2 linked regions of the Schizosaccharomyces pombe genome follow. Changing the gene in region 2 together with the main gene of any one other region gives a genetic interaction. Each region holds a gene or a part of one and is shown on either strand. Other genes may lie near its edges.

Evidence for each region.
Region 1: mutations in msd1 (region 2) and alm1 are lethal when combined (synthetic lethality), as found in Schizosaccharomyces pombe (one study listed by BioGRID).

Annotation. Positions count from the first base shown.
Region 1 is NC_003424.3:3,188,395-3,207,031, forward strand, and holds alm1 (nucleoporin Alm1), read right to left. Parts: upstream 8,374-18,637; 5' UTR 8,322-8,373; coding exon 3,138-8,321; 3' UTR 3,053-3,137; downstream 1-3,052. Other genes in the region: ntr1 (RNA-binding splicing factor), read right to left, coding at 4-2,397; F1F0 ATP synthase assembly factor Fmc1, read left to right, coding at 14,386-14,439, 14,483-14,743; npt1 (nicotinate phosphoribosyltransferase), read left to right, coding at 15,967-17,199; mrpl19 (mitochondrial 54S ribosomal protein uL11m), read right to left, coding at 17,706-18,140. UniProt on the Schizosaccharomyces pombe protein: Maintains the proteasome and its anchor cut8 at the nucleus envelope and is required for kinetochore component proteostasis. Proper kinetochore stoichiometry ensures the correct attachment of kinetochores to spindle microtubules during cytokinesis.
Region 2 is NC_003423.3:3,048,945-3,053,335, reverse strand, and holds msd1 (microtubule-anchoring factor Msd1), read right to left. Parts: upstream 2,786-4,391; 5' UTR 2,757-2,785; coding exon 1,761-2,756; 3' UTR 1,377-1,760; downstream 1-1,376. Other genes in the region: SPOM_SPBC13E7.07 (uncharacterized protein), read right to left, coding at 4-825; gpi14 (pig-M family mannosyltransferase), read right to left, coding at 2,859-3,092, 3,143-4,391. UniProt on the Schizosaccharomyces pombe protein: Has a role in meiosis.

The sequences.
Region 1 (18,637 bases), on a different chromosome or scaffold from region 2:
TTTCTAGTTATTGTTAAACATGAGGAGGATTTCGTTGAACCCAATTGGATCATAGGGCGTATCTTCGGAAGCTCCAGGAGATTTTTTCCAAATAATATCGTTTCGAAGATACACAGTTATTCCACGAGCTTTACTGGCTTGTGTTGAAATGCGGAACAAGGCACTACCGGTCGACAAATGTGACCGACGCAAAGGTACAAATAACAACGAATTTTCAGCACAGAACTCTTCAACAAGTTCGCGGAAACTCACTAATGGTTCATCGTAAGAAGTGGTATCGTCACTTTCAGCAGTGAACTCATGTTTTTCTTTCGAAAATTGAAGGTTGACCCCTTTAGTTGAGTCTTTTGCAAATGGAAGAGGAGCCGTTATGGATTTGTTTTCTAAGCATTCATTCATCATATCCAACCCTTTTGAAAATCCCTGTTGAATATATGCATTGGATAGCAAATCCTTCGGAAAAACGGATTTCCACCACGTATACCATTCACTTGCTTCATCAAAATTAGGAGCTTCCGTTAGCCATTGATAAAGGGTTTCTAACCATTTTGGAAAGAAATGATCTGCAAAGAGTTGCCCAAAAACCATAGCTTTAAACGATCCTTTCCAAGACAAAATGATAAAAAATATTTCAAGGTCTTGGTTAGATGGGTCAATCACTAACTCTTCATCCATTAACTTTTCCAACTTAGGCAATATAACTTTCTCAAGTAAACGGTCTAAAGCATCATTAGCAAACGCTGATCTCCAGACACTAAAGTCATCGATACTTCCATTCTTTATTTTCCATGGGGACAAAATTAGAGAAAACTGAACCAAAACACTTTGCAGTAGTGAATCTGCGTGCTTTTCCAAATAGGGTAACCACGGGAAAATACAATGATGCAGTGAATCATTTTTCTTCAATTTTAATTTAGGGTTCCATTTGCTTACAGCATCTTTGAGCCTAGGGAGTATATCATCTTGTATCAAAGAATCTTTAACTTTCTCTGGAACCACAGGGTCCCATGCTTCTAAAAGTTGCAAAGCCTTAAGAGAATCCTGAATAATCCATTTCTTCAGTTCCTCACCAATTTTTTTTTTCCAAACAAACATCATAAATGACTCATAGTGTGTTAAGCTTTGACCTTCTAATTCATCATCGAATTCCACATCAATATCCATAAATGTACTACTCTCTTCTCTCTTGGGCCTAAAGTCTTTGGAATATAAAGAATTTTTCCACGAAAGAAAACTTTCTAACATAAAATATGGATGTTTCCAGACATCCCAGTTTTTTATCGGTTCTGAAAGTACAAAAGCAAGGATTGACACTGCGACCGAGTCAAGCTCAAAATGCATACTTGCCTCTGAAAATTCAACCGGTAACGTTTCAATTAAGTTATTTAACGGCTGAAGTCTTTTTTCGATAACATCAATTTCGGCCTCAGGTACTGTAAACTCCATTGACCTGGATTTTACCTCCATAACTTTACCCAAAAGCTTTTCCAAACGAGATATTTCAACCGATTTCTCGTCGAATTCCGTTGTGACCCTCTTTAATTCCATTTTAACATAGGCGCGACGGGCTTGTAATTGTTGCCATGCAGAAGCATGGTGTTCACATTCAACCCGAGCAAGCCTGGAGAGCTGGTTAATTCCAGAAGTGGACATATCACGACCTTCTAAACCCAATTCTTCTTTATTTGAAGTCACAAATTCGATTTCCTTAGTATCATTTAAGGAAGCATCAATGAGACTGGCTAAGAACCTAGGCAAGTTATAACTTCCCATATCCTTTGAAATTTCTTCAGAGGATTTTAAAGGTTTCTTCTTTTTTTCTCTTAAAGGTTTTTGTTTGACGGTATGTTTCTCATCTTCACTATCAGAGATCTCACCACGAGCAATTGCCTCTTTCCTTTGCTTTTCGGTCCGTTCTCGAACGGCTCCCAATCCGACACGTTCGGGGCGTAGCTTAGATTGTACAGGTTCAGCTATACCCTCAGCATTGGCACCCAAACCTTGTCCTTGTTTATACCCCATTTTTTCCAACATTTTTGCGCCAAATCCAGTAGTATTAAACTTCATCTTTGGAATATTTTTCGCCTGAGAAACCTCATCATTTTTATTCTTTAACTGTGGAATTGAATGCGCCTCCAATAAATCATCTGCTGTCACTTGCTTATTTGCTTTAACTTGTTCAGATTTCTCAACAAAAGAAATGTTTTTTCTACGAAGTCTAGCACTTCCAATCCCCGAGTTATGAAAACCATCTTCATCTTCTTCACCAAATATTCCTAGCATGTCCCTTTCTTTTTGCTGCCCACGAAAAGATGGACGAAGACGTCCTTCTTCCAAAATTGAATCACCATCTGAATCCTCGGAAGATGAATTCATATCGACATACTCATTTTGCATATCAACCCAAGAATTCAATATAAATAAAAACCAATGAAAACCGAAATTTTCTATTTTGGGTCAGTTCTCCAGTGGGTTAAATATGGATGTCATATAATGAGTTTTTGCGCGTTACGTTCTTAAGCTTAAGAACACGCGAAAACGTCATTATTTATTTTATCTTGTCAGCAATACTACACTACGCTATGATACACTACGTTGCGTATCACTATATGTCATATGTTGGAATACTAGCTAAGATCCGTTTATTGATAATCACGGGTAACTATCCGTCTATATACATAGTTACCCGTTGATAACAACTATTTAGAAATATTATAAATACCGTTACAACTGAACCTCGTTCCTCAGTTCAGTTATGAGCTATATTAGTGATAGGTAACATTATAACCCAGTTAATACAATACCTATACTCAGTTGCTACTTATACAACCTGTGTATTGTAATATAATAGACCACAAGGAAAACTCACCGCAGTTCTACGTATCCTTAAATCAGATACCAAACTGCGTAGCTTACATATCTGAATAAGGACATTAGTTGCGCAAAATATCTATAGCTCTTCAAAAAATATCAAAATATTAAATTACAATACAAAGCTTTTTATTATAATAAAATTAAAGTCGTTTTTTTTATTGGAAACCAGAAATAATAATTATGCAGCTAACCTATTTTATTATCTGTTTACAAACTCTTAAGAAACATTAAAAAGGGCATTATACCAAAAAATTCATATTTTACTATTTGGCTTTCTTAACATCATTGGAAACATCCATACCAGCGTCTGAACTGGACCGTTTAGGAGGAGAATTAGTGTCAACAGAGTGAGTTTTGGCGATTAACTTTTTCTCTTTAACTTGAGCTGCTGGGACTTCAGAATTGCTTTTATTGGAATCAGTGTTTTTAGAAGCTTCCAAACTTAAAATTGCAGGGCTATCTTTTTTCTTCGATTGCTCCAACTCTGCTCGCACTCTAGCTAAGTTCTTTTCCAGCATGCTCAACTTCAACTTGTTACGCATCTCGAGTTCTTTTCGGATGTTATCTAGTTGTTTTTGATGCGACTGAGCAACTTGTTCCTCAACATCCTTCTGTAAAATTTCTCTGCGCTTTTCCCATTCCTTTTGCACAAAAGTAGTAAAGTCGGCAGTGGAAGTCGAAAAGTCAGATATGGACTCGTTGAAGATTACTTGAAATGTAACTGATAACATCTCTTCTGTCTTTTTTAAGTTTTCCAAATCTTTAGTATCAGCATGTACCGAAGCGGACTCTGCTTCCTCGGATGACACAACTGTCTCTTGCAAAGCTTTCACTTGATCTTGTAAAACCTGATTTTGTTTCCTGAGTAATTCGTTTTTCTGTAGCTCTTTTGCAATTCTCGAACGTAACCTCAAAACTTCCTGTTGCATGACTTTCTTCCTTTCCATTTCTTCTTCGTTGGGTATTTCAGTATCCTTACTGGTTCCCTCAGATTTATTACTATTTTGTCTGACCTTCTCAAGCTCCTCCTTCGTAGTATTTAAGATATCCATAATTTCACTTAGCTTTCGCTGTGTAGAAGATAGTTCTTCCTTAGTGCTATTGAATTCTTCCAGTGACACCGTACTTGGTTCAGACTGTGTAGTAGCAGTGGGGGTTGCAGAAGGTTTGTTGAGTTGTTCATTGAGCTGATGACATTCCGCAACCTTGGCTTCTAATTCAGAAGTCTTTTGCGAAAGTTGTTGACGTATTTGATTGTGCTTTTCTAAGCTCTTGTTAACTACCTGCTCATATTTAGTTCGCCAAGCAGCTGCTAGTTTTGTATTCTTCAACTCTAATTGTTCAATCTTGGATTGGTTTTGCGCTCTCTCATTTTCCAAATCTTCGCTTTTTGATTTAACAGTTTCCAATTCAGATTTCAAATGACCAATTTCTTGATTTAACTCCTCTATTAAGTTTTCTTTGGAAACAAGTTCATTCTTTAAGCGTGAAGCATCACTAGACGTAGATGTGCTACTGTTCAAAGATAGTAATATTTCTTGGTTATGACGCTTGTATTCTTCGTTGCTGTTTTCAAGCTTTTTTACAGCTGCTTTCTCTGTTTGAAGCTGTGATTCTAGTTGTTCTTTATTAAGTCTAAAATTCGCCAAATCAGTTTTAAGAGTTTCTATTTTCTCTCTTAACTCTGTGATAACTTCCTCGTTCCTTTCTAAATTTTCTCGGAGAGATTTGTTGCTCTCATTTAATAAAGCAACCATGTTTAGATAATTTGAACGTTCCCCAACGGATTCAGAAGTACTGCTAACATCCTTTTCCGTTATACCTCTTTGCAGATCGGCGATAACTCGATTCGATGATTCAACGGTTCGCTTGAGTTTCTTATTTTCAAGGAATAATAATTGTCGTTGGCATGAAATAATCTCCATTTCTTTGGATATACGCTTCACATGATTCTGTAAATCTGATAATCCTAATTTCATAACAGAATCTAAATCCGGGGATGGGCTAGTTATTTCTGCAAAGTTGAGATTGGAAGATTGAAGTTGGGTTAAAAGCATTGCGTTTTGCTTTTTGAGGACATAAACTTCCTGTCTCAAAGGATCTTCTTTTTCACTAATGGGAAAGGGCTGAGATTCGTTTATACCGGCCTTTAAGGCTATTTCTTTATTCAAATCTTCAACCTGTTCTAATGCCTTCGTGTAATCCTCGCGCAGTTTTTGAAGAGTCGATCTAGCATCGGCATGTCTTAAAAGTTCCTTTTCATAATCTTCACGAGTTTTTCTTAAATCTTCAGTTACCAACAACAACTGTTGTTTATAATCATTCTCCTTCTCTAAATGTTGCTTTTCAGCATTTCGGTGTGACGAAAGCTCATTGTTAAGATGCTTATTTTCCTCTAAAAGCAAGGCAACTCTTGTTTCGCTATCTTTAGTAATATTCTCACAGCGTAAAGAAGAAGAAGCTATCTCATCTTGTAGAATAACTATCCTTTGTTCAAGAGAAGTGATTTTTAAATGATTTTTTTCCAAGGACTCTGAAGTTTGCAATCGATACTCATCATACTCAGTTTTAACTCTTTCAACCATTTCTTCGGCGAGTTTGCTTGCGGCCTGTAACTGTTCAATATTCCTTAAAGAATAATTGTATTGGGATTCTAAGGAAGTATGTTTAGATTGCAAGTCACTAAGCGATGATTCTAGCAAAGCTTCCCTTTCGCTATAGGACGTATTTTTTTGCTGTGTAAACTTGGCTTCCAAAGTAGAAAATCTTTGTTTTTCAAGTTCAATGACGCCGTTTAATTCTTGGAGTTTTATTTCCATCATTTGTTGATTATCTAACAATTTCCTGTTGTCTTCACTTAACGATTGTTTTTCGAGCATTAATGTCTTAATCCTGCTGGAGTACTCAATTCCGCTCTTTTCCAAAGATTTCTGTAGAGAATGAAGATCATTACTCATCTTTTCATTTGACTCCTTCAACTTCTGCAAGGAAAGGCTTAAGCTTTCCTTCTCAGATTCAAATTTTACTTTTCTAGCAGCATCAGATAGCTGTTGCTGGTTAAGAAAAGTTTGAAGATCTGATACAAGACTCATTAGTCTCTCGCGCTCAGCCAAAAGTTTATCGTTTTCAGATATTAAACGCTCTTGCGTCCTTTTCCGTAAATCTTTTTCACCCTTCGAAGCATTTAGTTCACCTTTTAATCTTTCAGCAAGTGAGTTAACATGTAATAATTCTTCGGCAAATTTACTGGCTCTCTGATCCTGTCGACTAATTATATCCTGTAAATTTTGATTAATACTACGAAGCTCCTTGGCTTCCTTTTTAAAGGCTTCAACGTCATTATTAGCATTAGTTAATCTATCAGTAGATAACTGCTGCTGATATTTGGAATTTTCTAACTCTTTACGTATTGCTTCCATCTCACTCAACAAATCCTGATTTCGCTTAGACAAGGATTCCTGAATAGCTGTCATTTCGTTACGATAAACTTCGTAATTTTTCTCAAGTTCTCTTGTAGATTCATCAATGGATTTCATTTTGTCATCAATATTGCCCGCGGAAGAATTGTGAGACAAAATACTGCTTCGAGAAGTAGCTAACATTTCTTTCAGTAAATTTCGTTCATTAAGTAAGGACTCATTTTTTATTTTTGACGAATTTAACTCACTTTCCAAATTTTTGATTTGCTCTGAAAGTGTATTTGAATTTTCTTTAACTGCATTGGAAATTTGATATTGGACAGTTTGCTTTTGGATTTCAACATCGCATTCAAGGGCCCGCACTTTTTCCCGCAGTTCTAGAGTTTTCGAAACAGCTTCCTTTATAGATGAAAAATTAGCAAGCTCCTTGTTTACTAGTGTCTCAGATGCAGTAGAGGGATTTTGAGCGTATTCATCAAGCGCAACTTGCACAGTAGCGGGAACGTTTCTTGATTTAGTTTCATTCAAATGATCAAGTTCGGCCATGAGACAAATAACTTCTCGAGAAAGATCACTGCATTGAGTACGAGATGCGGTGAGCTGCAAGTAACAAGCTTCTTGGCGCATTTTGGTCGATAAAAGCTCTGCTTGTACTTTGGTTAGGTTGTTGTTAGATGTTTCCAAAGATTCGCTAAGAAAATTCATATAAATGTTATTCCTAACGATTTCACTCCTCTGTTGTTTGACAACTGGAATCCTTTGTTTAACTTGTTCACAAAATGAGGAGAATTTGTTAGTCAAGCGGTCTAGCTGAAGCTTTAAGCTAGAAACCTTCTGTTGGAGTTTCATATTGTCCGAATATACTTTCGTAAATGAAAATTCGGGATTTTGAACGGCGCTTAACTTTTGCGCCAAAGGAGAAAACAAACCTACACCAGCTGAAACAGAGGTATTTTTATTTTCTTTAACCACTTGTAGTTCACTAACTACACTATCATATTTCTCTTGCAGTTCCCGCAAACTATTCTCCGAAATCAATAGCTGTTGCTTGTTATTATTTAACTCTTCGGTCACATTATTGTATAGACTTTGTTGCGAAGTGAGCTTTTCTTGAAGTGCAGCAACCTCTGATTGCAACTCTGAAGATTTAGACTCCCAAAGAGCTGTAAGTCGTTTCTGAGTTTCCACTTCTTCTTCAAGTTCTTTGATTGAAGTGGGGTCGGTTTCAAGGATTTTTGATATGTTCCCATCGGAGGAATAATTGCTCCGCTTTTGCTCAAAAAGCTGTATTTTTTCGTTAAGCTCTGTATTCTGTTGGGCAAGCCCAGCAAGCTTTTTCTCCAAATCTTGAACTTGACGAGATGAAACTTCTAATTTTTCGCAAACTTTCGAATGATCTGATTGCAAACTAGCCAAATCAGAGACTAAAGCGCTTTTCTCCTGAACGAGTATCTCTTCCTTGACACGACTGCTACTGCTAGCAAACATGTGCTGTTTCTTTCTTTCTTCAATATCAGACAATGCTTGATGCGCACTCTGGACTTGCTCTCCTAAATGTGAATTTTCATTTTGTAGGGCTTCGATTTGATCTTTCGCGATTGAAAGCTGCTCAGAAGCAATCTTAGATTGCTCTTGTAATTCAGAGTTAGCCCTTCTAAGCGACTGGTTCTCAGTAGTCAATGCATCAAAGCGCTTATTTTGATTCTCCAAGTTGGTTTTCAGCGATTCGTTCTCATTTCTCAATACCGATATAAGATTACGTGATTCCTCTGCTTGATTATTAGAAGATTGAAGTTGTTGCTCAAGAAAGTTAATCTTCTTCGTAAGAACATTCTCCTTATGCTCATGGTTGACTTCTTGAAGGACAAGCTGATCCTTTAAAGCGTTTATGTCTTTAACCTTGGTTTTAATAGCAGATATAAATACAGCGAAACCATTGACAGACACCAGGGGTTTTATATCCTCAAAAGATACATCCAAAAACTCGTGTACCAGCTGAATATCATCTTCAAGTCCCCCCGAAGACATTTTCTAGCCTGGAATCAACGTTCGATGACTTATGAAGCACCAGTGTACGTATACGAGAAGTAAGTGATCAACCTCGATGTACAGAAATAATACCACGTTAGAAGAAATGCGACAATTACGTTGAGAAAAACAAATGAAGCAAATTTAAAAATTGTAATTACCGTGAGTATTAAAAAAAAAGCTAAATTTCTGTATTCTTCTCTATCACGCCTTGAACGTATCTTGAGTAGCAGTGCACTATTCGGACCTGTCGTCCACACAACACCAATTTTGGTGACTTTACTAATTATTTAATCAAATATCATCCTAGTGATGTTTGGACAAAACAATTCTTCCGGATTTGGAGGAGGAACCGGTGCTTTCGGTCAAAATAATCAACAAACTGGTGGGTTATTTGGTTCCAACTCCAATACTCCAGGGAACACTTTGTTTGGTTCCCAAAACACTTCTACAACTGGCTTTGGGCAGAACACTACTCAACCCTTGTTTGGATCAAATACGAACGGTGGACTATTTGGAAATAGAAACAACACTACCACGACTGGTGGCACAGGTTTTGGAATGTCCTCTGGGACAGGTATGTTTGGCCAATCCAATACTCCTGCTTTTGGAGGCACGAACAACGCCACAAATCCTAGTGGTGGTGGCCTCTTTGGATCAAATACCGCCAACAACAATGCAAATACTGGAACGTCATTTTCTTTTGGATCGAACGCTGGTTCAACAGGGTTCGGTAACACTGCATCGAATACTGGTACCGGTGGTGGCTTGTTTGGTTCTCAAAATAACGCTGGCAATACTGCTGGAAATACAGGTTTGGTTCGCAAGGTACTGGTGGTGGCTTGTTTGGTTCGTCCACTACACCCGCTACGACCAACGCTTTCGGAACCTCTGGATTTGTCTCAAGCAATGCAAACGCTGTGAATGGTACAGCTAACCCACCTTATGCGGTAACTTCTGAAAAAGACCCTCAAACAAACGGTACTAGTGTCTTCCAGTCTATAACTTGTATGCCCGCTTATAGATCTTATTCATTTGAAGAGTTGCGTTTACAAGACTATAATCAAGGACGACGTTTTGGCAATGCTTCTAGTACGAACACTACTTCTGCATTTGGTTCAACACCCGCATTTGGAGCTTCAACTACTCCGTTTGGTCAGAATTTGTCAGGTACCACAAATAATGCAACACCGTTTGGTACATCGAATGCTACTAATACCACTCCTGGTTCCGGTCTCTTTGGCGGTGGATCTGCATTTGGTAGTAACACTACCAATACAGGGTTTGGTTCTGGAACAAATAATGCATCCGGTGGGTTATTTGGTCAAAACAATAATACCACCTCAACTCCTTCAACCGGTCTTTTTGGTGGCTCTACATTTAATCAACAAAAACCAGCTTTTTCAGGTTTTGGCTCAACCACTAACACTACCAATACTGGTACAGGAACGGGTCTTTTTGGTTCAAATAACGCAACCAATACAGGAACAGGTCAAACTACGGGTGGCTTATTTGGTGGTGCTGCCACTGGTACGGGTACGGGATTTGGTTCTTCTACTGGGGGGTTTGGAAGCAACACGAATAACCAACCCAATTCAGGTACCATGGGTACAGGTTTGTTTGGTTTTGGCGCTAATAATAATACGGCAAATAATAACACCGCTCCAACATCTACTTTTGGTGGTAACAATAGTAGTAATTTTTCCTTTGGTGCCAATAATAATGCAGCCACTAAGCCTTCTGGATTCGGTTTTGGTTCCACGACCACTACTCCTGCCAGCGGAGGTTTTTCTTTTGGGCAAAATGCTAATAATGCTCCCAAGCCAGCTTTTGGATCCACTGCTACCACTGCTCCTAAACCAGCAGGGACAGGTTTGTTTGGTGGTTTAGGAGCCGGTGCTAATACCAACACAGCTACTAATGCTACCGGCACTGGCGGAAGTTTATTCGGAAATGCGAACACTGCGGGTTCTAACATGTTTGGATCAGCCAACTCCAGTACTCCTGGTACCGGTTTATTTGGCTCTACGCAAACGAATAATGCTACTTCCAATACCGGAACCGGGCTCTTTGGATCCAATAATGCAAACACAACCAATACCGGTGGTAGTTTGTTTAATAAGCCTTCTACTACAACTGGTGGTTTGTTTGGTAACACAACTGCTCAACAACCATCTACAACTACATCTGGATTATTTGGGGCTTCTAATACTAACAACCAAGCACAAACTTCAAATTTTGGTACTGGGTTATTTGGTGGATCTCAAGCTGGACAACAGCAACAACCATTACAGGCCAGTATAGACCAAAACCCTTACGGCAATAATCCCTTATTTTCAAGCACAACTTCACAAGTTGCACCAACTAGTATTCAGGAACCGATAGCTTCACCGTTGACTTCTAAACCGACTCCCAAAAAGGCAGCTTCTCTACCACAATTTTGGTTGTCACCTCGTTCGCATAATACTGCACGTTTGGCTTCTATTTCCTCTTTTGCCAAATCGGCTGTAATGAATTCAACAAGTGCTTCTGGTAAACCGAAATCACTACACCTGTTTGATTCGCTTAACGATGATGTGTTGCTGAGCGCCGATGCTTTTACTCCGAGACAAAACATAAAAAAGCTGGTTATTACCCACAAAATCTCCAAAGATGATATCCTGCAAAATGGTGTGAAAAATGGCAACGATGCCAAATCAGACTCAAAAGTACAAGAAAAAGCACCTCAAAATGAAGCAGATGGCTCTTTAAAGAAAGACGAACATGTAGTTCTATCTGACGATTACTGGATGAAACCCTCAATTGAGGAGCTTTCTAAGTATCCTAAAGAAAAATTATGTTCTGTCCATCAATTCTCTGTCGGTCGCACTGGCTATGGCCAAGTTGCATTTTTAAAACCCGTCGATTTGAGTGGATTCGAAAAGCTTGAAGACATACCTGGCAAGGTCGTTGTTTTTGAGAGAAAGATTTGCGCCGTATATCCTGTTGAGGGATCAAGTCCTCCTTTGGGTGAAGGCCTTAATGTTCCTGCCATAATTACACTTGAAAAAACCTGGCCATTATCTCGAGAGACTCGAGAGCCTATTAAGGATCCTCAGAACCCTAGATACATTCAACATGTAAAGAGACTTCATCGTATTAAAGATACCGAATTTATTGACTTTAATGACGGAAAATGGATCTTCAAGGTTCAGCATTTCTCTAGATACGGTTTGCTGGATGATGAAGAGGAAGAAAACGATATGTCATCAACTAGTAATGAAGCAGGTAATTTAAAAAAGTATGATCAACCAAACTTGAAAGTTTCGGGAAAAAATGATTCATTTGTTACTCACCATACACCAGGTGCATTTCCCAACGACAGTAAGAACAAGGAATTGAACCGCCATTTCCTAAAAGTTGATGATTCTGCCCCTTTGGATGATACTTTTATGTCCAAGAAAGTCAAACTTGATTTTTCTAGCGATTCAAATGTCTCAGAAAGAGGTGACTATGACGATAATGCAAAAAAAGTCGACGAGGTTATTTCTATCGAAAAAGTCGATGGATACTCGAAGGAAAATAACGTTCCACTTTCTGAAGATGACTTATCAAATTCTTCGGAATCTTCTAATGAATCCGTTTATAGCCTAGTAGAAGAGTCTGATGCTAGTTTGGCAGCAGACAATATGGATATTGAGGATATTAGCGAGGAGTCGGACAGGGAGGAACTGTCTTCTATGCGTTTTGGAGCCCAAGATTTTCATGGGCTTGTCGTTACAGATAATTGGAGAGACCAATTAAATTTGAGTGTTCAACGCTCGGCTTTAATAAAAGCTGCTTTTCCTGAAAGTCAATCAAATGCAAATTTAAAAAACTCTAGAGGTATATATTATAACGAACATGATTTAGTGACGGACATTTTTGGAAATCAAAACCTCGACACCGATAGACCTTGGCAATCTTTAGATAAGCCGGGGGCTTTCATACCCTCAAAATTTCATTTTACTGCCAACGGATCATGTATATACGTGCTGAAATCTTCGGATGTAAAAATAAGATCGATATATGATTTTATACCTACCAAAGATCCAAATGGCACGAAGTTGTTAGAGTATCAGCTCGATCAAACAGAAGTTTACTTGGATTTGAGTGGGACCCATGCTGCTTCACCTCGTTCATCTATGACTGTCAAACCTTTATCGCTATGTTCTTCTGGATATGAAAGCATAGTGTGGGATCTGACTTCAATTCTATTTGACCCAAAAAACTACTCCTTGCCTTCAGAACTCTCATCAGAGGCTCGTGAAGTTCTTTATCAAAAGCTTGTACGGGAATCTTTATCTGAATGGATTACTAAGACACTTGAGCATGAAACAACTACATTAGCAAAGGAAGCCGAAACATCAGAAGAACGTATTTACATTTTGTTAACAGGAAACCTTATTGGTCAGGCTTGTGAGGAAGCGGTCCAATCCCAAAATAATCGTTTATCCACGCTTATACCTTTAGTCAATAGTGATGTAGATATCCAGCAAGAGGTGAAACAGCAATTGGAGGAATGGAGAAAACACGGTGATTTACCCTTCATCAATAAATTTACAAGACTAATATTCGAATTGCTTTCTGGTAATACTGATATTGCTGAAGGCTGTGGGACTAAAGGAGATGAGGATTATGTTCAATCTATACCCATTACAAAAAATATGACCTGGTTAAGAGCATTCGGCTTAAAGTTGTGGTACAACACTGATATTAGTATAGGTGAAGCTATGCAATTGTATGTTGAGTCTTTGCAAAAGTTTCCTGAAATCATGCAGAAACCAATCGCCACTAGTGCTGTGCAAGGTATTGAAGTATATGACATTATTTATCTTTTGCTCAAAGCGTATGCTATGGGCACTAGTTTAGAAGAACTTACTATACCGGAAAGCGCTAAATGTTCGCCGCTGAATTACAGAGTAGTATGGCAATTGGCAATTTACTTATCGAAAGCTAGATCCTTATGTGACTTTTCAGATAGAGTGGTGGATATTAACATGGCTGAAGATCTAAAACCTATTAGTGTTCATTCTGATCAATTGACTCTGGCATATGCTTCCCAGTTGGAAGCATCAGGGCAATGGTTATGGTCATTATTTGTTTTATTGCATTTGGAGAATGTAGAAACCCGAACATCGACTATCACTTCATGTTTAGCACGAAACCTTCGTGGGGGATTAGGTGCTGGTGCTGTTGAAATGATTGAAAAGTTATGTATCCCTGAATCCTGGTTAAACGAGGCCAAAGCGTTGTATGCACGTTATGTTGGTGATCACTTAAACGAGCTTTATTTCCTTCAGGAAGCTGCTTTGTATGAAGATGCGCATAAGGTGTTGTTGGATACCTTGGCTCCACAGGCTGTTATAAGTGGTAATAAGACACAATTGAAAAAAGCACTAGAAGGATTTAATGGGCAAACAGATGGGTTGGCTTCTTGGAGATTTGGAGGTCAAATTTATTCCGATTATTTGGATCTTTTAGAAGGTAACTTTGATGCTAATCAAGAGCTAAAGCTTTTTACACTTCGTAAAATTAGCGTAGCATTGAAAGAATTGAATGCTACTAATTTGTTACAAAAGGCTGCTTTGCACAAAATTTCGCGGTTTGTTAACGCGCTTTGTAATGAAGAGTCACTTACGGATGCTATATGTAATCTCCCCTTACCACTTGCTGACAGTCTAGCGAATTTACAAAATATATCTGTGCAATTTTGATTTAGTATTCTAGATTGGTTTATACGATGAATTAGAAAAAAAATCTATATTTAATGAAATCGGAATATATGTTCTGAGTTCAACGTCTTTTGTAAATAATGAATGAATATATATTTTTGTTGGCTTTAACTTCTTTAAACATTTATTAAATGACACCAATAATAGTAATTGTTCTCTTGCTTTAAGCTACTTGTTCGTTGTTCTATAATGAAGTTAGTGGATTCATTAGCAACTACAAGAAACACCTCTCTCTAAACGCGCAATCATTCATAAGGATTTTGTAGGTATAATACCAACCTTAGATCCATAAAGAGAAGATAATTTAAACGATGAGTACTCCTACTACTGTTTATCGGTCACTTTTGCGTCAATTGCGCGAGATGGTAAGTATTTTGAAGTATGGGGCGAAGCATTAATAGTCTTCAGAATGTAATATATAAGACCAGTACCCTCAAACAAAAGAAAGGATTCACTAAGACCCAAAAAGACTTCTTAGTATATACCAAAGCTTGTCTTAGAAATAACAAGGTTGAGCAGCTATCAAAATTTCAAGAGGTGGTTGCATTTTTGAAATCGGGAAATCAACATGAACTGTTATTTAATCGCCATCATCCGTTAGCAAATGTAAATGAACTTGAAAAAGTAAAGCTTGCTGCTAGACGTGTAGGATTGGAAAGCCCCGAGTAAGCTGATGTCCAAAAGTGGTGAATTGATGATTTATCTGACGATATACTCGACTGCCTTTTCCGTTATAGAGCTTATTAAAAAATTTCAAGGGTGTACTTTATCTCAATTTTGCGCATTAAAAATTTACTTTTTCCGCAAAACCTCGTCCGAAATTACTCGTTAGTTTTTTTGAACTGTTTCTTAGTGATGTCTTTTACTACATGCTAATAACGAAATTCTGAATTCTTTGTGACCAAAAAAATATATTTTTTAACACTTGAGTTATGCTATGCTCTGTGCTTTATGGAAGTTTAAAATTATCACCCTTACTACTTGTACCGGAAGATTTTTAAATGAGCGTCCTAATGCTCCTGAATTAATATATACAAGAGTCAGGATAGGCAAGTACTTACGGAAAGGAAATGAAATTTTTGGAATTCTCTTTTTTGTCCTGCTAAAATTGCAATATATTAGAAATGGTCTTATGAAAAACACTTAAGAATATCATATTTAGTTGTAAACCCATTTTAATGAATTTTTGAAAAGAACTTTAGAAAATATGTGCCAGTATAAAGATTGAGTTTCAATTATCAATTAATGAAAAGCAAATTGAAAAGTTATTCCTAATGCCATAAAAAGGCGAACAATTTTAACATCGTAAATAAAAGTAAGTAACAATACCATGATGTTACTTGAAAAAGTAAATCATCGCCAAGATACAAAATGTCAATCTACCAAGATCAGATTCGTCCTCAAATTGGTTTTGTTTGCTACAGGCTATTAAAGTAGTACAATTGTTTGTTGAAGGTATGCTCGTTTGTTAAAAATAATATAATTTGATTTCCTGCAATTTTGGCGGGTATACTTTTCGAGTCTGCATTATAACATGCGCATGTAGTATAAAATATAATGTTTCACATCTATTTGACAATTGACACTAACTTGAAAAAGATCCTAACCCTTTAAAATTTTGAAAACCTTCACAAAAAAATTGACTTCTATTTCCTGCGACTAAGAGTGTTCTGATTGAAATTGACATTAGTAGGGGAAATTATAATTAATATCTTTCATATCAAGACACTTTAAATTTTAATTCTATTTGATTTTGATTTCCTTGCGTTTTTAATGCGCTAACGGCAAACGTTCATTGATTTCATAAAAAAGTTTCGTCGGGTTCTATACACCTCAGGTTTTCAACCAATATTAATATATAATTTGAAAATATATCTATCCTTTTTGCTACGATGAGTGAACCGGCTGTTGTCTCTATCCTCGATACGGATCTTTACAAACTCACCATGCTTCAAGCCGTTTTAGAGCATTATCCGGATGCTCAAGTATCATATAAGTATACAAACCGGTCCCCAAAAATGGCATTAAATCAGGAGGCTTATAACTGGTTACGGGAACAAATAAGAGGCTTACGGAATTTACATTTACTTCCTGAAGAAGAGCAATGGCTTCGCAAGAACTGTCCTTATTTAAAGGAATCATTTTATGAATTCATGCATGAGTTCGAATTTGATCCTGAAAATTCAATTTCCCTTAATTATGATTCTGAAACTAAGGATCTCTCAATCTTTATTCACGGCCTCTGGAAGAATACCATTTTTTATGAAATTCCACTGCTTGCTCTCGTCTCAGAATCTTATTTTAAATTTGTCGATAAGGACTGGTCACCTGAGGGTCAGTTTGAAAAAGCTTACGAGAAGGGTAAGCGTCTCATCCGAGCCGGATGTGCCTTTACTGACTTTGGCACTCGTCGTCGTCGTGATCCTCACACCCAGGAAATTGTTCTCCAAGGTCTCATGAAAGCACAAGAGGATTTTAAGGGCCCTGGAAGTTTCCTTGGTACATCTAATGTTTACTTCGCCGCCAAATATAATCTAAATGTCTCTGGTACGGTTGCTCACGAGTGGTATATGGGCATTGCAGCTATTACTCAAAATTATAAACAAGCAAATCGTATTGCTTCCTTAAAGTGGGTCCAAACTTTTGGTACTAGTCTTTTAATAGCCTTAACGGATACATTCTCTACTGATGTGTTTCTCAAATCTTTTACAGCCAATTCTGCCGACGATTTAGCCAATGTTTTCCATGGTGTTCGTCAAGATAGCGGTTGTGCTGAGGAATACATTGAAAAAGTCGTAAAGCACTATAAATCAATAGGTGTCGATCCTTCCACAAAAGTAATTGTTCATAGCGATGCTTTAAATGTTGACAGATGTATCGAACTGTACAAATACTGCGAGAAATGTGGCATTAAGTCTGCATTTGGCATCGGCACAAATCTTACCAGCGACTTCCAAAAAGTTTCCAATCCCAGTGAAGTGAGCAAACCTATGAATATTGTTATTAAGCTTTTTTCCGCTGAAGGAACTAAAGCAGTGAAGATTAGTGACGATATCATGAAAAATACTGGTGATCGTGATGCTGTTATTCAAGCCAAGCATCAATTATGCCTCCCTATAGCATAAGCCATTTCTTTTATTTTCGAGCGTTTCTGCAGTACTAATCTTGGTTTTTTTTTTCTTATTTTTTGATAGATAGACAGAGTTTGAGGCTCTCTTTTATTGAGCTGCATTTCATAAGGCGTGACTTAGAGTAAACATAAAACTCACACTTGAAAATCTTCATTTTCTTTTCTGCTTAGCATATCTGTTTCGTTATCTATATTGATAGTTTAATGCTAAAGGTAATCATTTAGTCTAAGATGTGTTTGTAAACTAACGGTATGCAATTCTTTAATTTTATATGGCAAACGTGTTTTTTTACTTTGCTTGTTTAACGAAGGAATAATATAAAACAACTAAGAAAAGGAGAAAATAAGAAAACAGGGACAACGTTTTAGTCGGTAATAGTAAAAAGTCATATCATTAACTGCTTTTATTCAAGAAAAAAGAGGGGAATAGTTTATAACAAGATAGAAAAAAAAATAACCTCAAGTATGACCAGTTACAAAATGCTCTGGCGTCTCATAAGATTAAGGTACGACTTTGACGCCCATGCTTTTAGCTGTTCCAATGACACTTTTACAAAGAGAAAGAAGCTCTATTCCTTGTAAGCTTGGATCAGTACTTTTCAATTTGGCAATTTCATATATATGCTTCAAGCTTAATTGTCCCTTTATATCATGTAATGGGGAACTTGAACCTTTTTCAAGGTCGAGGGTTTTAGAGATTAACCAACTGGTTGGAGGAGTATGTATAGTGAAAGTAAATGTTCTTTGAGGTGTGACAGTAATTTTACAAGGCACTGGGGTATTTGGCATCCAACCTGCCGTCCGCGCATTAAATTCTTTACAAAAGTCTATGCTCTTCAACCCGCGAGCACCAAGGGCAGGTCCAATTGGAGGCGTAGGCGTAGCTTTTCCTGCCGGTACAATTAATTTTATGATTGTCGTTCTAGTAGAAGCCATAAGGTTAAAGAAGAAAATACAGTTGTAAGTTGTATGTCTCTCATGCAATAAAGTAACATGTTCTTCCTTAAAAATAATTGTAATTAGAATAATAACTAATTTGAAATATTTGGGTGAATTAATTGTAATGTGTTTACTTATTTGTAATATTAAAGCTTTTAATAGCAGTCAGAAAAATTCCCGAATAGACCAAATGTGTCCTTCTCTTCTGCTTGATTGAATAGAAGTAAAAGTATTGACATTAAATAGGCAACTCAGATAAATGGAAAAGACGTTTTCATAAACGTTGTTCGTTTTAGGATTTTTTTGAAAAATTTTAGTTGATTTTTGAATCTCAAATACGGATTAGTTAAAATGTCGCAAAATTTTTCATTTGTTGAACAACAATAGCGCTGAATTGAAGCCGTTTAAAAGAAGCAAACCAAAATTTAGCTACATAGCTTTTCAAAGTTAACTCCTTACTATCAATTAATATATTAAGTTTTTAGGGATTGGCA
Region 2 (4,391 bases):
TTCCTACCACAAACTATCATATCGGTTACCTTTGGAAGAGCCTGCTTGACCGTTGTTAATATAAGAGTAAGCAGAACGGCTAGAATTGTTTAGCCCTCCACGAGGCCTATTTGCTTCATGAAGCTCTTTTCTATGTGCAGCAAGCCTTCTTCGTTGTTCTTCATCTGCAAGTTCTTGCATTTCTTTAGCCCGTAGCTTTTTTTGTTGATTTTGACGTTGCCTTTTGGTAAGAGGTTCAGTGGATTTCTTTTTGCCGTACGACCTGGAGCTGGTAACAGTTTGAAAGCCATCATCGATATCGTTTGAAGAAAACGAATTATGTAAAGAGTCATCTGCTGTAATAGCGGCGAGAGATATTGATGACTTCATTTTCAAAGAGGAAGGGGTAGTTGAATGTTTCTGTTCTAATTTTTGAGTATCTTCAACGTCCGTAGTATCCTCCTTTTCAGCAGGATTTTTTCCGACCAATTTCTCCTTCTTAGGAGACTTTACTTTCTTGACTTTATGATTTTCTTGGAAAATTTTAGGTGTGCCCTTCTTTGGCACTACCACGGGTTCCTTCTTTGAAGAGTCTTTCGATTTCGACTTTAGGGCATCTGAGGTTTCCAATTTTTGGGATTTTTTAGAGGGAGTTTCTCGATTAACCAAAGTATCCTTCTTAGTGTTCTTTTGTTTCTGCCTCTGTTTCTGTTTACCCAACTTAGTAAGCTTAGACTTTTGAGGTTTGGTAGCTAATTTTTTATCACTTGAGACTAAAAAATAGTACGCAACGTAAACAGTAGCTATAAGAAATGCCCATCTAAAGAAAGCCTCCTCATAACCCATTCTTTATCTCAATGTGGAATAGTGTAAGTAGAGCAACCAAATGGCAGTCCAAGCAAGCGCCATAATGTATCAGGGAATGCACAATGCTACTTAACGATCCTTGATATATAGCACTATATGTTAAAAAATGTAAACAATAAGAAAATGTGATTTCAATAACAAAAGGTAATTATATTGTTTAACATTGAACACATTTGACAAAAAAAACTAATGTACTTGATCACACTACTAATGCTATTCTAAATTCGCTAAAGACTTGTCGCCAATAAAATTAATACACCAACGTATTCGCTTAAAAAGTATAATTAAAAAAAAAAATTGTTAAAATTTATTTATCATTATAGTAACTCTGATTTTTACTTTTTTAACAAAACCACCAATAATGATTTTTGAAGCTTACTAGTACCTTAAATATTTTGTTCTATTAGGGGTGTGTTAGTAGTTTTGAGCAGAATTGAAATTCGAAATATCAATATATTTATAATTATGTAGGTGTTTTTTTACAAATATAAAAAAGAATTAAAAATAACTTATGACTTTTTAGAAAATATTCCGGTTAATTATTTTTTTGAAGATTAAACACAATCGTAAGTGCTCCAACTAACTTTTACATGGAAATAATTAAATCGACTTTCTTGAGCTAGTGCCTACAATCCTTTAACAACATGCTTTCAAAGCCCTGGTGCACTGTTTAACAGTTTCACATTTTAAGGTATGTTAAATCGTTCAATTGAGAATAGAAATTTGCCTTCAAAATTCTGTACTTAGTGAAAGAAGATGCACTTGTTTACAATAAATAAATATTTAAAAAAATAAAAAGCAATCTTCCAGTTCTCAAAGAGGAATATAAGTGTCTTTGAATTGCGTTCTTTATTATTAATAAATTGGCTTTCGTTTAAGAAATCGAAGCAGCAAATTATTACGTTAAAAGTCAGTCAAAATTTGTCGTGCATATTTGTTAAAAATTCAAAAACTCTTTTGTTCTCCTTTTGAAGAATGTTTATCAAATGTTTATTTTTCTCGTTTTCCTCTAATATTGCATCCAATTCATCAATTGAAACATATTTACGTTCATGCAACAGATTACGAATAAAAAGCAGCTGATTTTGAATTTTTGCATCAAGAAGGATAGCATTCAGTTCACATACTTCAAACGGGTTCGAGTTAGGACGTTCGTATAAAGGACTTAACATCTCTACCAGTGAATTCAAGGTACCACTTAAACATGTCAAAAGTGTTCCGTTACTTTTTTTCAATTCGTTATTTAATCCTTTTAACAATTGAAATTCATCGTTATTCACCCTACTGTTAAGGAAATTGGAATTTTCATCATTCTGTTGCAAAAATGAAGCGGTCTCAGGTAGTATGGGGGCATTTGTGTTTTGCTTAATAGGCTCTTTAACGATTAACATACTATTTAGGTTTCTTCCTTTTCGAGCTTTCACTAGTCCATAGTTACCTTTCAAAGTCTCCATTTGTTGCTCATGCTGGCGTAATGAAACAGATAATTGATTCTTTAATGCCTTCAAAGTCAATTCATTTTTAGCATTTACATCTTTCAAACCTTTATTTTGTGTAATTAATTCAGCTTGATCTCTTTCCAGTGTTCTAACTTTATTCAGTTGCAATTGACATTCGTTTTGATAAAGCTCCAACTCATTTTTGAGCCGTTTTATTGTATTGTTATCTCTTTGCTTTTCATATTCATTATTTTTAATAGCATCAAGAAGAGATTCCTTTTCTAAACGTTCTTCGTCAGTTGCTCTTAATAAACGATATATGATGTTCACTATGTTGCAATTATCACGAATGTCATGAGAAAGGCGTAACTTTTCAGCTTGTATTACTCCTTTGGAAAATAAAGATTTGTTAATATACAAAAGGCTTTCTTCTATATTGCTGGGGTTGCAAAAAACAATGGGGGTGGTCATCTTCCAATGTTTACACTTATTAATGCGGTGGTGAAGAAATAATGTAGAACATCCTTATAAAAATCATCTATTGCATAGAACTTAAAACAGATTGATTATTAACTACAAAGAATCTAATATTATTTTTAATTCATAAACATTAAAAAAAAAAAAAAGTAAGCCGGAAAGCCAAAGAGGTATAAATACCGATTTTCCCAACATTTCTAAATTGTATGCACTAATAAGCCATAACAGCTGACCAATAATCCACAGAGACAGACAAATAAGTCCCTTCTTACTTAAAAGCTTAGAGTTTGGTAAAACCAGAGGTAGAAATACTAGATACCACATAAAATACTAAGTTGTTAGTATAATCCGTCATTCTTCTAATTTCAAACTTAACATACCTGACTGGTACAAACCTTATTAAAGGTTACAAATGCAAATGTTTGGGCAAATAGAGTCCCAGGTAAATTCTTTTTTCCAAAGACCAAGGGTATTAGCATGCACAAACTTAACTGCGGCAGAAATGCAAATAAAGAAGACGCTTTTGCTCCGAAAGATGATTCATAGTATAAGTTTAAATGATGTAGAGAGAAATTATGTCGATGATCTGTTCTACCAAAGTGGTAAAGATATGTATGTTCAAGGAATGGAGACCCGTAAAGGTAATACATCAATAAATTACATATCGTAAACATAAACAAAGAACCAACAACAATCTTTAACTGATTAATCGATAATAAAGATAGAAATTTTTCCATGAAAGTGGACCCTTTTTTTGGTTTTGAAAAATATACTAAGAAAGCAATCCCATACATAAATGGGTAAATTTTAAAATGCACAGAAAACCCAAGTATTAGGCTAGCTAGCCAAACTGATTTTTTTTCGATCAAATACAACAAAGCAATGCTCAATATACCAAGAATGGCTTCACAATTCCCTCGAGTACTGATTATGGCGACGAATGGGTTCAATATCCAGAAGGAAGAGTAAATTAACGACCTTTTGTAAGATATCCTCCTAGATAAGAGCTTAATCATAAGCCACCCAGCAATTAAGTCTGATATTGAAAACAAATATTTACCCCACGACGGAAATCCGTATTGAGTAGGAAGAAGCAAAATTGCCAACATTGGAGTATAGCGATATGTGTCACGCATATACGGTGACATTCCTATGGAGACATATTTTGATGCGTCCGAAAACACGAAATAATCGATGTCCGTAAATTTAAGGGCAGATCGTCTATCATGCCAAATACCATAATTCAACAATACAAGTCTCATCAATAGACCCAATAAAAGTAAAAGAAATGCATCAGTAGGCGCATATAGGAGATATAAACTACTTTCACGTAATTTGGTAATCATATTTTCACGACTATTGTACTTTGACAGTAATTTCATAGCTTTTGCATAATGGATAAGAGCTTCACGAGCACTTGTATTGAATAGACTGCAAACTTTCACATCCAAATCAATGAGATATTTTTCATCCTGGGTTAAACGATATTGCAAGCAAGATTGAATAAAGCACTGAATTCGCAAATATTCTTTATCTGAGACACTAGTGTTTGTCCATTCAAGCAAAGAATTGGTAACTCCAGCAGCTAGTAAAGAATATGCCTTTTCATAATTTTGAAAGTTGTATGAT